Arabidopsis thaliana: one gene and its partner. The protein of the gene in region 1 purifies or fractionates together with the protein of each later gene. This does not show direct contact. Each region holds a gene or a part of one and is shown on either strand. Other genes may lie near its edges.

Region 1 (8,224 bases):
GCTTTGGGTCGAGTTGGGGCATCTTTCCCGACTTGGAGGAGTATAGAGGAAGCTGCAGCGACTGCGATAAGAGCAATGCCTGCTACGATTGCTGCTGTGTTCTCAGCCCCATCAGCCGATGATCCTGCAGTACCTGAGCTAATCGCGCTCTCTGCAACATATACTGCAGGCTGAAAAAGTTACAAGAAACGCTATTCTTTAGAAAAAAAGCCAATGGAATTGAGTCGATAAGAAAAAGCCAATCGAATTAGATCAAGAACCCCATCTCAAGAAGATGCGGGGTTTACATGACATGTTGTTGCAAGCTAATGCATATTTCTTGGAGATGGAGGTCGAGATCGATGACAGAATTATGGAACAAACACACACACACACAAGAAAAGCCAAAAAAAAGTTAATTTCAAACGAGACAAAATATAACAGTAAAACTGATCAGATCGAAAGCCTAGTTTTCTTTGTTATCCTTGAAGCAACGATCAAACTCAAAGAAAGAGCCAAATGTATATTGAAAATTGGTTAAAGAGATCTCCTAACTCCCTGAAAGCCAAAAGGCTCACAAACAAGCCACTGGTCAAATACCCCTAATCTCATCTTGTTGTTATGCATCCACTACATTCTAATGCCTATCACAGAATCATAAGAACCTGTTCCCTCGGCAAAGTTTGAAGCTTTTTCTCTCAACTAAAAACCAGTATCCCTCCAAACACTATGAGCCTAAAAGGAGTGCCTGTGCTTCCCTAAAGATACTAAAACTTACTTAGGTATAACCTAAACTAATAAAAGTAGAGATGAGTGGAGTGGATAGATAGATGGAGAAATAAAGAGGAACGAACCTCAATGGAGTAAACATTAGTCTGACCAGCAGTATCTTTCTCAACATAGCCAGTCCAACCACGCGGCTTCCGAGGAGGAAATGTTCCCACCACTTTCGTCTTCTCTCCAGCTAACCATTCCATACTCACTGTTCCTACCTGTTGCGTTTCACCCACCAAACCTCATCAATGACATCATTTCAATTGTAAAAATCCCCACTTTATAATCCAGTTTCACTAATTAGCTAATTTTGGAGATTCCGAAACTAAATCTTCTAAGTAACCAACTCATATTTCCCAGCAATGTTGAACAACCCAATTGCAAAAAAATTATCATCATGGGTTTTGTTAAAGAAACAAAATTGAGCGGAGAATGAAACAAATACAGAGGTGGGATTGAGTACCTCCTTCTCGGGAGCACATTCTTCGGCATTACAATCAGCATCATCGGAAGAAGCTCTAACGACGGAGAAGAAAAGTTTCCGTCCGCCGGACTTTGAATTGATGAATCTGCCAAGAGGTTTAGGCGATGCAAATACGTAGCCGTTTGGGGATAGCAAGACATTCGACATGGTTGATCAAATAAGAGGAGAATCTTGGGATTGTTCTATCTTCTTAGAGAAACAGAGAAGAAGAAGATAAAGAGAGGAAGAAGATGTGTGTGTGTTATGTGTGGTGGGCTTTTCCACTAGCCTACGCGTGTAACTGCCAAACCCACAAATTCCTAACTCCAAATTATACCAAACCAAATTGAAACAATTTCAAATCAAACCGGAATAAAATTCGGTTTTCTTTCTGATCTGTTTTCTCAATGACGAATTTAAAATTCGGTTATTCAATCCAATTATTGGAAAATTTTGTATGGATTAGTGCACCTTGATTTTTTTCTGCTTTATTCTGTTTCTAGAGATATTCCGCATATCGCTTTTTTTTTTCCCGCTTCGTCCACTTTATATTCCATTATTCAATTCATTTTCCCGTAAAAAGACATTAACGAATTATATCAGTTTTGCCATAGTTTAATCATAACGACCCCAAAATACCTTGTGTGCTAGTGCTTAGCCACTATCCATTGTATTGTACCTTAAGCATGTGTGGGGTTCAAATCACACTTTCCCGGTATGGAATAAAAGAATTGTATACAAGTACCATCATAATGGAGTGAACCAGAGTGGAACTTGTTTAGGTGGTTACATGATCGATGTGATTGTTGTCTCTCTGTTCTCTTTCGCATTATCAATTTTATTTTATGAAATTTGATTTGATTTTAAGCAATTGGCGTAGCATTCTCTTTTGGTTTTCACTTTCTACATTACTCGTTTGAAACTCAAAACTATATTTTTTCTTTTAATCATACTTTTTTTTAATCAATTTTCTTTCTCTACTAGTTGATAAAATTATGAAAATTATTGTCTTATACATATTACCATGCCAGACAAACCCTATACAAGCTTTAAAGTGGATTCTTTTTGAAAACTATGAACTGAAATATCCACTAGTCGCGCTATTTCTGATGGGCCAATTGATGAACATCGATTGTCGATAAACAATTTAAGACAACGACTAAAATTTGATTAGATCATTGTGCTAATATTATATTCAATTTTATGTATTTCTAATTACCTAATATGTTCAATTGTATATTTGTATACCGTAAGGAAATATAATATAGTTTCATTATTTGATTAGCTTAGATCCAACACTCTAGATAATTGAAGAACAATTAAAAACATAAATTACTAGATAGCACAAATGCTACACACCTCCGCCCTCTAAGACTGGTGAAGCAAACGACGCAAGACAAGACAAAAATGAAACACACAAATAACACAAACAAACAAGTCTCTGCATAAATATGAGTAGGCTCTTATTGTCTCATTCATCTTTCTAAGAGCATCGTTCACGTGCCAAACCGAGCCGTCCATTGGGGACGTCGATGAGGACACGGTGGTTCTGCTGCTGCATGCTTGCGATCACATTGACGACAGAGTTTACGTTTTCCGGCGCTGCAGCCATGGCGAGGCACGACGTGCTTCCGGCGGTACTGTGTAACATCAGGTTATCAGCCGGCATCGTCATGTTCACTCCCTTGAACATGAATGTTATCGTCGGCACCTTGACTTGCCCTGAGTAGCACGTGTCGAAACCCCCGAGTGACGTCACCACGGCTGTGGTTGGCTTCACGCGCTTCCTGAACTCGTTCCTCACTGCCTCGTAAACCGGTTTAGCCAGCCGCGTGTACACAGTTCCTACACAGCAAATGGTTTAGTTAATATAACCAAACCAATCTAAAATTATATTATAACTGAAAATAACCGAATCGAATAAAATACACTAAATTATTCTATTTTGTTACGTATATATTTTAGTGTAAAACAATACGAAATACACTAATTAACTAAAGATTTATGTTTTTAGTCTAAACCAATACGAAATTAATACCAATTGAAACAGAAAACTAAAACCTAACCGGAACCAAACCGGACAAGAGTAATTACCGGAGTCGAAGATGGTTCCAGCGCCGGTTGAAGGATTAAAAGCAATAGCTGCCGGCGGTAAATCGACGACTTTCCGACCAACGCGGATCGCAACGAGGTTGACGTAGTACAGAGAAGACCTTCTAGGGTTTCTGAGAAGTTGAGTGTACTTCACGCGCTGGGGCTGGGAGGTAGGGCCGAGTCTGAGAGAACCAGAGAAGGTCAGAGACCTGAAACTTGGCAAACAGTAAGAGAAAGTGGACTTGTAAATAGACTGAGCCTGTGACATGAGTGAAAGTGGGCCTCGTCCCAAGCCCAACAAGCCTTGAGGTGGTGGGATGGTTCCTCCACCGGCGACTTTGTTGACGCATCCGAATGTAAAGGCTTTGATCGGATCGGCGGCAAGACGTATCGTGTCTTGAGAGAGGTTAGCCGCAATGGAGGAGCTTCCATAGGTGAGGTTGAAAGAGCACGCGCGTGCTCCACACGTGGGGTTTGGTACCTGAAGCAAGTGTTCACGTGAATTGTTGTTAATGCAGTACAGTGTCTCTGTGTCGGTCAAGTGTTTAGTGGTTCTGTAATCCCGTGACCGTTTTTTCTTTGAATGTGGGTGGAATTATCAATTATAACCACGTGGAACCCACTCTCTGTGAAAATACATTTTTCACGTAATAAAATAGAAACTGTCCTTTTTGTATATCAACTAAAAAATTTCTAGATCTGATATTTTGTCAAATATATTTTCATTTTGGGGCAGCAATTAACATTCTCATGCTCACATCTTTATGATGAAAACAAATGCAGGTTACTAATATTAAAATTTGACTACAATATAGTATGGTGAGACATTCATAAACTATTTTTTCTTTTTTAATACTACCGGTTCATTTATGAAGCTATGAAAGTGTAAGTGTGAGGATAAAATAAATTAATCAAAAAACATTCCAAAAACATATTTATTAGATATGTAGTACTGTAGGTGTGTAAGTACAAAATTATATACCTGCTTACACTGAGGAGCGCTGCAGCTAACGTTCTTGAAGGATGTAGACTTAGCAGGGGAAAAGGCCGTGTTAGAAGGACAGCCAACGCAGCCGGAGCAAGGAATCCAAGCCACGTCACTGCTCGTGTCCATGGCTAGGAGCAGCGGCTGAGCCGGAGTACCGATCAAAGCCTTGACAATGTATGTAGTGCTTTGCAACATTTGACGCCCTGAGGCAATGGGGACTACAGATCTCCCGGCGACGAGGCTGCTCAGGTACTGGAGACGGGCCTGGTCTTGAGCCAGCGTCTGGAGCACACGCGCTTCCCATGAGAGTGGGGATGATGATTTGAAGGGGGAGCAAGGGCTGTCTATGTGGAAGATTCTTAGGGTAGAGCCTTGGTCTTGAGTCTTGGTCAGGTCACAATTTGGGTGGTTCAACCCAAGTGCTAATGGTAGGATGGAAAAAAGTTGGAGGAATAAAACAAGAGTAGACATTGTATTGTATGCTTTTGGGTTGGATGGGTTATTAAATGGTGTTGGCATGAGAAGGGTATATATAGTGGTCTGAGCTACATAATGACCAAGCACATAAAATCAAAAGTATAATTAACTATATGATACAAATCAATAATTATTTCCGCTTATTAGGTTTTAAGTTTGAATCCACGGTAAAATAAAGATTAGCTTAAATTTAAACTGCTCTCGTTTCTAACTTTAACATTTCTTTTGTAATGTTAATTTTTTTCATTACAAAGGTTTGCCTTGGACTGTCTATAAGAACAATAAATTGTTAAAGCATGTATCTAAAACATTATGCTAAACAATTAACTGTATGATCCGTTAAAAAAACGCTTTCCAGTATACAACAACCACATGTTTAAATCGTATATCCCGCCCTTCGAGAGTTCGACCTTCAACAAACTTAAACTGTATATGAGATCAAACAAGTTGCAGAGCTCTAAAGTTTTTTTTATGATATACCTTTCTAAACTTTGACTTATGTGATTTTAGAATGATTTGTGTGTGTAAAGTGTGTATAACTAATGTCTCTTTAGAGGGGAAAATCTAAGATATATATTGATTCGAAATCTTTTCCATTCTTATGTTAATTCTTTCATTTACCTCTCAAACATATTTTCGAAGATAATATATTATCTCCATTTAAAATAATAAAAAGTGGGTTATTCTTTCAAATATCCAACAATCCCTTCACAAAGAGTGACTGTCTTTAATGTTTCCGAGATGATTTCTTAATCACTACCACCTCTTAACCATCATATCTAAAATAGAAAGATGTGTTCCTATTGTTTCTTGCAGCATCTCCAATAATGCGAACCGGTAAAAACATGGGTGCTGGTTTAGTTATTACTAGTATTTTGTAAGCATGCCATTATTACTCTTATATTTATCTTTGTAAAAGATGTGTCGGCAAGTAATGTAAATTATTCATCTGTTTCTTTACTCTTCCGATAGTGCAAAGTTACTTTCTTCAGATTTCCACTACTTTTGTGGGGTATTAGTATGATGGGCAGCGTATACAATAAGGAAAATATACTTGTCTCCCACATGATATAAATAAACTTTTTTTCTAATCACAACAACAAAATAGAACATGGGTAATGTATTTTGTGATTAATTTTTCTTTTAAAAGTGTACATTTAACTATATATTAACCCGTGGTATACCGCGAGCCTATATTTTTATTAAATAAAAAATAATTGAATATTTTTTAGAATGATTTAATAAATTTATGCTATTGTTTGATTTAAATGTACAATTCACCGCTAGACGAAATTTTATAACTCAAATTTTAAAGTTTTAAGTTGTATTTGTTTATTTTGTTAAATGTTTAATATTGTATAATTGTATTTTGATTGTTGTTTCTCGGATTTCACCCGTAGTACACCATTCCATATTAATATCGAATCAAACCCGTCAATTCTATGATTTCACCCGTGGTAGTATTTAATTGTATAATTATATTTTAATTGTCATTCTATGATTTCACTTCTAATTCTATCGCAAATTATTATCAACCCAAACCAGTCAATTCTAAAATATTTCGTAGTACACCATCCCATATTAATATCGAATCAAGCCCGTCAATTCTAGGATTTCACCCGTGGTAGTATTTAATTGTATAATTCTATTTTAATTGTCATTCTATGATTTCACTCATAATTCTATCGCAAATTATTATCAACCCAAACCAGTCAATTCTAAAATATTCCGTAGTACACCATCCCATATTAATATCGAATCAAGCCCGTCAATTCTAGGATTTCACCCGTGGTAGTATTTAATTGTATAATTATATTTTAATTGTCATTCTAGGATTTCACTCCCAATTCTATCGCAAATTCTTATCAACCCAAACAGTCAATTATAAAATTTCACCCGTAGTATAATGTTTAAATATTTATAATGTTTAAATTTCTTATAAAAGAATCAAAATGTGTTTTAAAAAAATTAAAGTTTTAAGTTTTTTTTTTTTAATATTGTTAATTTTGTTTAGTGTTTAAGATTATATAATTATATTATGATTGTTATTATATGTTTTTTTCCATAGCATACTATCCCATGTTATTATCCACTCAAACCTGTCACACCATATAACCCCGTCCCGTGAAATTAAACACAAATTTGTCATTTTATTATAAATTTCAAATATTTATAAAACTAGAAACTTCAAAAAAGATTAATATTGACCCAAACTTCATCATTGAATTTTGAGTGTTATATCTAAGATTTCTCTCGCAGTATATCGTCCCGTATTAATATCTTTTATATTGTTTAAATTTCTTGTAAAATTTAATTTATAATTTTTTAAACTTTTTTAAGTTTCAATTTTTTAAAATAAATAACCCTAGTAAACAAACCATTTTAATTTTGGACACCTCATAAATCAAGTTTCATGCTCATTCGTAATCGAAATCATTTTGGTCCTTTTTATAGTATGGCTCTTGACCATTGTCCAATTTTTTTAAGCGATGTGGGACATTCTAAAATCGTAATTATTATCCACCCAAACCCGTCATACCATATAACCCAGTCCCGTGAAATTAAACATAATTTTGTCATTTTCTTATAAATTTCAATATTATAAAATTTGAAACTTAAAAAAATACAATATCGACCCAAAATTCATCATTGAATTTTGATTGTTATATTTAAGATTTTTTCTGTAATATATCGTCTCGTATTAATATATTTTTTATATATTTATAATGTTAAATTTCTTGTAAAATTCAATTTATAATTTTTAAAACTTTATAAGTTTTAAAATTATAAATATTTAAAGCATTTTTTAAAGATAAACTTTATAAAAAAATTTAAAATTATAATATTTAACTTTTGATAAAGTTATAATATTTATAATTTTTTGAAACATTTTAAAGTTTCAATTCTTTAAAATAAAAAATCCGAGTAAAATCGGATAACTATTTTAATTTTGGACGCCTGATAAATCAAGCTTCCTGCTCATTCGTAATCAGAATCATTTTGGTCCTTTTATAATATGGATATGAACCATTGTCCAATTTTTCTAAGCGATGTAGGACATTGTACACATATTATTTCTTCATAGGTTGAATAATATATGTCCGTTTTAAAAAATTTGAATTACATCATATTCAGAAAAAATATAATATTTTATTAACTATATATATTTTATATAAATTTAAAATAAATAAAGTATAAGATCAAATAAAATTGAAAGAAGAATTATATATTTATGTTTAAATTAGGTAGAAATATTTTAGAAAATTAGTTAAGGTAAATAAGAAATATGGTTAGTTTAGAGATATTGTTTATATTAAATTTGGTAATTAAATCATTAATTTTCGTTTTTAATTATTAGTTTTTAGGTAACTTTTCCAAAAATTAATGTTATCCAAGATCAGAACAGAATTAAACATGTTATCTAGGATCCGAACAGAGTTAAACCGGGT
Region 2 (9,004 bases), about 16 Mb from region 1:
TCAACCTCCTCCGTCGTCTTCTAGTGGTGGTGGAAGGAGAAGAAGATCAAAGAGTCTTTTTTGTGGTCTTCACTCTTCTTGTCTTGCTTCATCTTCTACTTCTCATTACAGTGATGATGATAATGATGAACAGGTCTGGTTTTGATATTTAATTTATTTTGGTCAAATCTGAAATTAGGTCAAGTTCATGAGTTTTGATTTCTTCAGGTGTGTAATGGATGGATGAGGAAGAGTCATGGAAGTGTTACACGGCGTAGAATGGAATCGAGAAGAGATGCATCAGATTGCTATGATAAAGAATTGAAAGATGATAAGAAATCTGAAAACGAAAGACATTGTGATGAGCTTGAGCTTGATGATGAGTGTGGTGTTGAAGAAGAAGAAGAGGAAGCTAGTGTAAGCAATGTACAGATGAGAAATGTTAGCGGTTCGATTCAAGAATCTTCTACTCCAGGTCGAGTTTTTTCGCATTTCAAATTCATTCCTGGTAACATAAGCTCTAGACTTAGCAGAGCTTCAAGTTCAAGATCCTTCAACACGACTTATCCAGTCTCTTCTTCTCATAGAGAAGATGGTGTTACTTCACCTTCAGAATCTGCTATTAGGCTCAATGATAGAGTTGAGTCTCCGAGAATTCCTGTGATTGACAATGTAGTTAGAGATATTGATGCCATGAGATTTGGGGAAGATGGTAGCTTACGTTCTCCGAGAGTAGTTAATGGTATGGATAGTACTTATGCTGGACTTCTTGATAGAAGACATGTTGTACGAGAACCTTCTATTGAGCGCAATGTTAGATTTAGTAGAACTCTGAGTGTTGGAAGACTCCGTGATAGAGTTCTTCGCCGATCTTCACTCTCTGATTTCGCATTCCGTCCCTCGCCACATCAGGGAGAAGAAGATACTGATCTCTTCTCTGCTGAAACCGCAGCAGCAGAGGATGCTCCTGTGACTTCAACGTCTATACTAAATCGTTCCGCTTCTAGCATTCGAAGGACCTTATTCGGCATTCAGGATCATGAGACACCAGCTGCTCTTGTGAGAGAAGGGAGGTATCAAGGTTTATTAGAACACAGATCAGATTTCCTTGAAAGAAGGAGGAGAATAAGATCTCAGGTTTGAAACTCATTGATTCTCTCTTCCTTGATGTGTCTGATCAACTCAAGATCTAACTAACTGATATAACTAATTCCACAGGTTCGCGCTCTTCAAAGATTAGGAAGCCGGTTTGAGAATGTCGCAGTCCATCATGATAGATCTTGTGTCTTATCAGGTCAAGATCAAGCAGGTCGCTGCACATGCCGTGCAGTTACTAACCGTGGTTCGACAACAGCAACAACCGATGAAACAAATGCAAGAGCTAGCATCTCAAGGATAGTATTGCTAGCTGAAGCTCTCTTCGAGGTAAATACATGTTTTCGGTCTCCCTACTAACAGCTTTTTGCCACTATCTTTCTTTCTCATGTATGCTAAGGATCTACAGTGCATTCATTTTAGGTTCTTGATGAAATTCATCAGCAATCTGTTGTCTTATCCTCTCAACAACCATCAGTATCATCTATAGGATCTGTTCCTGCACCTAACGACGTTGTGGATTTATTACCGATAAAACTTTATACTAAGTCACAAAGCGAGGATCCATCACAGTAATGCATACTAAATTCTCAGATCTTTCTTTTGCCAATTGTGATGCTCAAAAGTCTCGAGACCTAATGGTTAAACATGTTTTTTCCTGGAACCTCAGATGTTACATATGCCTTGTGGAATATGAAGAAGCAGACTCTATAAGGACACTTCCTTGTCATCATGAATTCCACAAAACCTGTGTAGATAAATGGCTCAAGGAGATTCACAGGTATGAATGTGATATATAATGTGAAGTTTGGTGACAACTAATTTTCCGCCTTTTTGGTGTGTACTAGATTATCTGATGATGTTTTTATGGCGAAGCAGAGTATGTCCGCTGTGTCGAGGAGATATTTGTAGACATGATCCATCATCGGAACAACATTGATTACAGTCTTATAGACATAATGCTGAAAGATTTTGATTCTACAAGAGACCAAGAACATTCATCGGTTTTTGCCTGCAACTGAATCAATATTGTTGTGTGTTTGCTTTTTGTTTCGTAGCTTACAATGGAAAACAAAAGTGACAGTTTAAAAGATGTAAACTTGTATACCAATTTGATCCAGCATATCTGTAAGAAAGTTAATCCATTGATGTTGTGTGTTTCATGAGCATCTTTGTTTCTGTATTGCAACTTCTGTAAATGTAGTCAAACTTAGTAGCTTATGTTCAAAAACATATTAAAAAAACCTTAATTTATAAGATTGATTCTTTATTAAAAAGAATTTAAGAAATTGCGAACCCAATAATAAGAGAGATTGATTATATATAACAGCTTAAACGATTGTAGAAGGGCAAAGGATTTTATTTATTCGAATGAAATTGTATCAATTATATTATTTTACTTTTAAATTTCAAGAACAATATTCCAAAGATGAATAAATTTTAAGACATCAATGAATAAATTTTAGTCTTCAGTAGATACTGCAGGGCAAGTAGGGTTGCAATTAAGCGATGAACAATCTACGTTCTGAAACGTACTCCTCTCAAAGAACCAATCTCCAACCGCCTTAGCCATTTTCTGAAAATAACAAATCCAAAACAATAATGAAAAATATACTACATATTTATGTTTTATTTTCAGGTTTATGAAAGATTCTAAAAAGTCTTAAATGTCATAGAAACCATTTGTAAATTTTTATAAACCCTTCTTAGATCAAAAGTTTGTGGTATTTTCCAATATTATTTTTACTTTGTACAAGAAAATCAAGTGATTACCGTATTCGCGACTGTGGGACCTTTGTCGCCGGACCAAGTGGCAGCGCTTCCACCTTGGCAATGAGCATGGCACGAGTCCAAGAACAATCCGTTCGTCGTCGCGGATCGAACAGGCGCCAACGCAGCCAACACTTGGTCTCTATATCCTGAAATATTATAATAAACCAATCAGTTTAGTCTAGAAGATATTAACCAAATTTGTTCATTAGTTCCGGTAGGTAAAACATACCTTGAACGGTTTGAAGCTGAGCGGCCGTACACTTCTTAAGATCAAGCTTACAAGTCTTCCATGCTTTGCTTTTATCAACAGAGGTTGGTGCCAATACATTCTTGATCTGCAAAAAAAGGAATAAAATTTTTAAATCCAAATCATATCTAGTGTTATTATTTCTACCGAAAACAATAATCATAAAAACAAAATCGAACCTGCCAAGAATCGAAGGCGGCATTGATGACGAAAAGCGGTGTTTGTAAGGTCTTAGCAACGTATTGAGGGAAGAAACACTGTGAAAATATAAACATAAGCGTTTATACAATATAACGAACTCGGAAAAATTTATGCCTTGTATATCAAGTATGTTTTCGATAAATTTACCAAATCAGGCTTCATACTTGAGGTGCAAGAAGCAGGTAGACTCTTTGCAGATCCCTGTAAATAGTGATCGAGATTAGTCGTGATGGGATACACCTGATATATTAGAGAAATATGGCCAAGGAAAAGAGAGATGTATCCTACGTGGGTCGCTACGACTTTGGCGTAGTAGGATTGGATGTAAGATCCTCCAGTGATATCCTTACTGTTCAAACAACAAAATAACAAAGGTTGTTATTTGTTATCTAGGATGCTAGCAATTGTATGTGTGACTCTCTAGAAATTATGAATGTTACCCGTGGATGAAGTAACCAGCGTCAGAAACACATTTGACCTTAGCCGTTTTAGGGAGAGTGGACTTGAACTGGTCGCAATGTAGAATCGCAGCCAATGCTCCAGCTGAACAACCGGAGAGTATAGCCTGAAATTCATGTAACCAAACATTTTAAATTCCAACACTTCAAAAATTCACTAACAATTAGAGAAACATATTTGAAATTATCATTTTTCATACGTTTTGAGCGTTGCTCATTCCCTTAGCCATAAGATCATCGATCACCGCACGCCAAACCCTAGCACCGCGAAAGAACAGCTTGTGCGTCTGAAAATATTCAAATTACACTCTTAAAAATTTGGAACTTCAACTAAATCGTTATGTGATATTCAATATAAATGATTAAAAATCATCCATGTCCCCATTTCAAGTAGTTAAGTTTAACGGTAATGGTCAAGTGAATTACCGGATCAACAGCTTCTATATCACCGGTGAAAGATGAACCATCGCAATACCGAACTTTGATTCTATTCCAATTGTAAAAGTCTGCAAAACACCCAAAATCCGATTCAGTCTCATTGCATAAGAAAACAAATAAAAAATTCGCTGAACAAAATGAAAAGAAATAAAAAAGAATTGAAAACCTGGATTGGTGCTTTGCTTGCCACCCAAGATACCGGAGAAACCAAAGTCTTTGTTCATAAGCTTAGAAGAACCCTTCATTGTACTTTTACGTTGAACGCATGTAGCTATATCAGTGCACCATCCTCCTCCCTAATGTATTCACATAAGTATATACATATTTAATTAATATCATTATATTTTGTACGTAGTTATTTATGATAACATCTAATAAAATGAGAAAATAAAAATAATACTAACTTCCATATGAACGATCCAATTGTTCACTCCTGAGCCCGATCCCTTATCGAAATGGTATGCTGGCGCGCTACCATCCAAACACACTACAGAAAATATAATATATATACAGTAATTAGTTTTTTTTGTTTGTCAAACATAGTAGATAATTAGTTATAACAATGGTTTTATCTACCAAATTTAAAATCCAAGTTAGTCTCATGAGTAAACACCGATAAAGGTTTTATTAATCTGAAGTATCCAAGATAATGAACATTTATATTGAATACCATTTTGAAATTTGGAAGACACAATTTATTTTTTTGGATTTTTAGAAACTTGACTCAAGACCATTTCCAATGTTGGCTCTATTTTTCTTACTATAAAGCCTCATCATTAATTCGATTTTTCTATCTATTCATACTATCCATTCTCGAACCTGATTCCTAATAAGCAATTGAAAATAAAATTATTGTCTACCAGCTCCTTTAGCCACTGCAGATTCAAGATACGTGATGGGCACAGCTCTGGCTCCGATCACCACCACGGCTAGCACTAAAATGCTTGACCACATTTGTTTTAGCCACGTCATTCTATAACAAAAGAAAAAAAGTTATAACTCACAAATTAGTAAAAATGAACTTGTCCGAACCAAACATAATTTATTATGGCTATAATGACAAAATCGAATAGAATGTTAATTATCTCCCAAATAATGTAGAGGATTGACTCTAACAAAAAGCTTTGAGATCAAGCGATGTGTTCGGATCTCAAGTAATCGTACATGTGTTATGTGTAACTTGCACATGGTTTTAATATAAAGCTTATCTTTTGTTGTTTCTGTATCAAAGTAAGAACTTAATGAATTGAGAAAATATATTCTATATTGAAAATATCACCATTGGTCCATTCAAAAAGTTGGGGAAACAAAATGACCAGTCCATGTGTGTGCATTAGTATTTTCCTCGATTGATGTAATCCACCGAAAAATAATTTATAATATTATTACTATAAATACGAAATATATAAATAAATTCCCTTCAATATTAATCATATTAGGAACAACGACTTACTCATAGTTATAATCAGTGAAGACACGAACAACTATTAGAAGGATAAGTTGCAATATTCAATTAGTAATCTTTCGTCCCTATATATTTGTATTAAATGCTATTTAGATGGTACAATGGTAGCTCTATGAACAATGAATGAATTAAAATGTGAGTGTATCCGAAAATACCCTTCTAGACCAAACTTAAACAGACCGCAATTCATGGCGTCGGGAGGGCCAAAATGAGAACCATGCATATGATGAGATTACGACTTATATCATTTTAAATTCAAAAACAATTTTGTTGAAACCAAACATTGCAATTTGTTGTAAGTGGATTATTGGACCGCCAACTAATTGGGGGAAAATAAAATTAAACCACTTCTTGGAAGAAAAAAAATGCCAAAAATAGGATTGAAATCAAAACATTGCAAGATCTTTTCCATCACGATTATATGACCGTAATTGTTTCTCTACTAATAGTTACTTGGTTAAATCCAAGAAATGACTCACAATTAACATATCTAGTTTTCAAAACATATCTAATAAGCTATGGTTGAGTAAGAAAATCTGAGTTTTAACTCGTAGATCAATATGAAAGAACTGGAAACTATCAAAGAAATAATAACAGAAACTTCATTTAAACAAATTCTAATAGAGACTTCATTTTTAGGAAAAGAGACGAAGAAGATTTACCTTGAGAAAATGACTCTTCAGATTCTTATTCACGTAGAGAAGAAAAGAAGTTTTTTTTTACAATGTAAAAATGAGTAACAGAGGACTCTTCGAGAGTAAGGTTTACAAGTTCAAAGAAAGCCATTGATGTCCTCTCTGTTATATAGATGGATACAGAATACCACACGTCGAAAGAAAACCTTTTTTTTTTCTTTTTCTTTTTTGCTTCATTTAATAAAAATAAATATAAAAGTTTTATTGTTACTTTCATGTATTTGCCAGGTCACGAGAATTCAACGTTAAAGACTCTCAAGAAAACTACCTTCGTAGTAATATGACCAGTATTCACATATCGTATATAATCTAATTCCTTTAAGTATTTTGTTCAATTTATTAATAGTTTCACATAAGAATATTACAATAAATAAACAGAAAAATGAATTCTATTTTTGTTTAGTTTATTATAAAGTTTTATGATTTATTATGAGGATGCAGTATTTCTTTTATACGTAGTAGTTGGTACAATAGCGATGACCTATATCGAAATCAAAAGTTATGTCTGGATGGAATCTAAGGAAGCTGCTGTACTAGTGTCCATATCAATTCGGCTCATGAGATGATTTTTGTCTTCAAAACTTTTAAAATTTGAAATTACATGACATTGAATTATTTCTGCAAAAGGAAATTAATTTGCCACGTGTGGTATTGTGTCGGTCCTCCTCCAAATGCACCGAATCAAGTTAATGCGGAATGCCGAGAGTTTAAGACCTAATGCTAATTTACTTACATTATTCTGACTTTTTGTCTTCCTCGTCTTCATAATGTATTCAATAACTTGAATAAATGAATCATTACTTTAATTTTTTACCTTCTTTCTCCACAAATGAATATTAGGGTAGAAGTTAAACAGATTTATATCTCTTCATTATATTTTTGTAAAAAATGATTGATATTGTTTCGGTGCAGAAGTCAAATTATTAAGTAGCTTACTATAATCCTTGAATCGGCGTTCTTTATCCTCAATTAAAAAGATTCTTTATATATAGAAGAACCATATATTCTTGTCATTGAGAAGGTTGTGTGTATCTCATAACCAATTAAAATAAAATGGAAATTTACGTACCAACATGGTGAATTTTTCAATATACGTCAAAAAACCATTTATGATATGCTGGTGGAGGATGTTTCATTATGAAGGTAGATTTATGATCAAAAGAACATCAAACTTATTTAAAATTGTTTGGATATTACAATTATCTGTCTATGTCTATAGGTATATTAGTATTTATTACTATAATTTTAGCGGACTACTTCAAGAAAAGAGAAAAATTATCTCATATTGATTAATGTATAGTTGATAAGTCTGTAATTAGTATGAATCTTGATGTAGTATGTCTAACTATAAAAATAAATGAATTTGGGAAAGATCATTACCAAATGATGTAAGAGGAAGGTAGGGTCCGTGGGACTAGGAGGAGAAAGGGATAAGGAAAGTGGCCTGGAAGATCTGTCGATTACAATTTACCAATTTTTAAAATTCTTTGTTTTTTCTCTAAACAGAAAAAATGAGAATTATGTTATATATTTCCAAAACCAAAACGCGTTTAATAATACAAGTACTAAATAATACAGAGAGAGCATATAGGTTTTGACTTTGACTTTTGAGTCACGACTTTGTTACATTTATTTGAACACATGATGTTTGTATTTAAATAATCTGAAAATTTTGAATATGTGATAGACCATAACATGTAGTCTATAATATTTAAATCTAAAGAATTTCAAAATCCGAGTTTCATACTAACCTTCCGAAATGTGTAGACATTTATTAGATTTTATTTTGTTACTAAAAACTTTTTTGAATGGTCATAAATAATTAAAACTACCATGAAAATTTTTAATCTGCCAAAGAGAATATTTAGAGTAAATCATTCAATCACTAGACCACCATCATTTAATTACCTACTTATATATATTTGTATTATTGAAATCAGAAATGAGTATGCGGAAGCGAAGCATTTAAAAATATAAAAACAAGTTTTATAAAATTTTTAAAAAGTGAATAGGTGTTAAAAGCGTATACAAAAAATTAAATCAAATAATTATCATATTAAAAAATATAATGAACCACAGAAGTCTAATGCATGAATTTTAAATACCTCAACTACAAATAAAAACAAGATAGTTTAGTTTTACACAATAAATAAAAATCAAATAGTTCAAAGCCAAAATTTAGATCACGATCTTCATTCTCATCTTCTTAATTCATCAAATAGAAATGGTTTCAAATTCGGTTTTAAAAACATCATTAAATTCAAGGTTTTGAAAGTTAATTTAATTCAATTAATTAATCATTCCAAGATTTATCAAATAATGATTCATGTGGTGGTCATATTTTTAAGGATGATCTTATAAAACTAAAGTACAAAATTAGTATGCAATTAAATTGCAAAATTAGTTTTGGTTTTTTATTTGTAAAAACAACTATCAAAAATATTTGGGATATTTTCATGTTTCCTATTTATATATGACATCAAATTTTTTAAATAGAAATGCAAACTTCAAAATAGAATTGTAATCTTCAAACGAGCTTTCAAAGTAGAATTTTTAGAAGTGAAGTGACTAGTGAGATTTCAAAAACTTCTTATTCAACTAAGATTCTGAAGTGGGAAGCGGACCTTCAACAAAGCTTCCGTACTTCCTAGGT

What was found. The genes of interacting proteins can lie anywhere in the genome.
Region 2: the proteins of AT5G07030 (region 1) and AT5G45280 fractionate together in Arabidopsis thaliana (co-fractionation; one large-scale study listed by BioGRID). This does not show direct contact.

What each region holds. Positions count from the first base shown.
Region 1 is NC_003076.8:2,180,901-2,189,124, forward strand, and holds AT5G07030 (Eukaryotic aspartyl protease family protein), read right to left. Parts: upstream 5,073-8,224; 5' UTR 4,818-5,072; coding exon 4,293-4,817; intron 3,792-4,292; coding exon 3,311-3,791; intron 3,062-3,310; coding exon 2,700-3,061; 3' UTR 2,428-2,699; downstream 1-2,427. Other genes in the region: AT5G07020 (proline-rich family protein), read right to left, coding at 1-170, 834-971, 1,217-1,384.
Region 2 is NC_003076.8:18,343,021-18,352,024, reverse strand, and holds AT5G45280 (Pectinacetylesterase family protein), read right to left. Parts: upstream 6,492-9,004; 5' UTR 6,319-6,491; intron 5,165-6,318; 5' UTR 5,164-5,164; coding exon 5,052-5,163; intron 4,679-5,051; coding exon 4,596-4,678; intron 4,488-4,595; coding exon 4,358-4,487; intron 4,260-4,357; coding exon 4,180-4,259; intron 4,041-4,179; coding exon 3,954-4,040; intron 3,861-3,953; coding exon 3,736-3,860; intron 3,645-3,735; coding exon 3,584-3,644; intron 3,497-3,583; coding exon 3,443-3,496; intron 3,352-3,442; coding exon 3,274-3,351; intron 3,183-3,273; coding exon 3,077-3,182; intron 2,994-3,076; coding exon 2,848-2,993; intron 2,651-2,847; coding exon 2,537-2,650; 3' UTR 2,330-2,536; downstream 1-2,329. Other genes in the region: AT5G45290 (RING/U-box superfamily protein), read left to right, coding at 1-133, 208-1,116, 1,198-1,404, 1,498-1,646, 1,745-1,855, 1,951-2,014. UniProt on the Arabidopsis thaliana protein: Hydrolyzes acetyl esters in homogalacturonan regions of pectin. In type I primary cell wall, galacturonic acid residues of pectin can be acetylated at the O-2 and O-3 positions.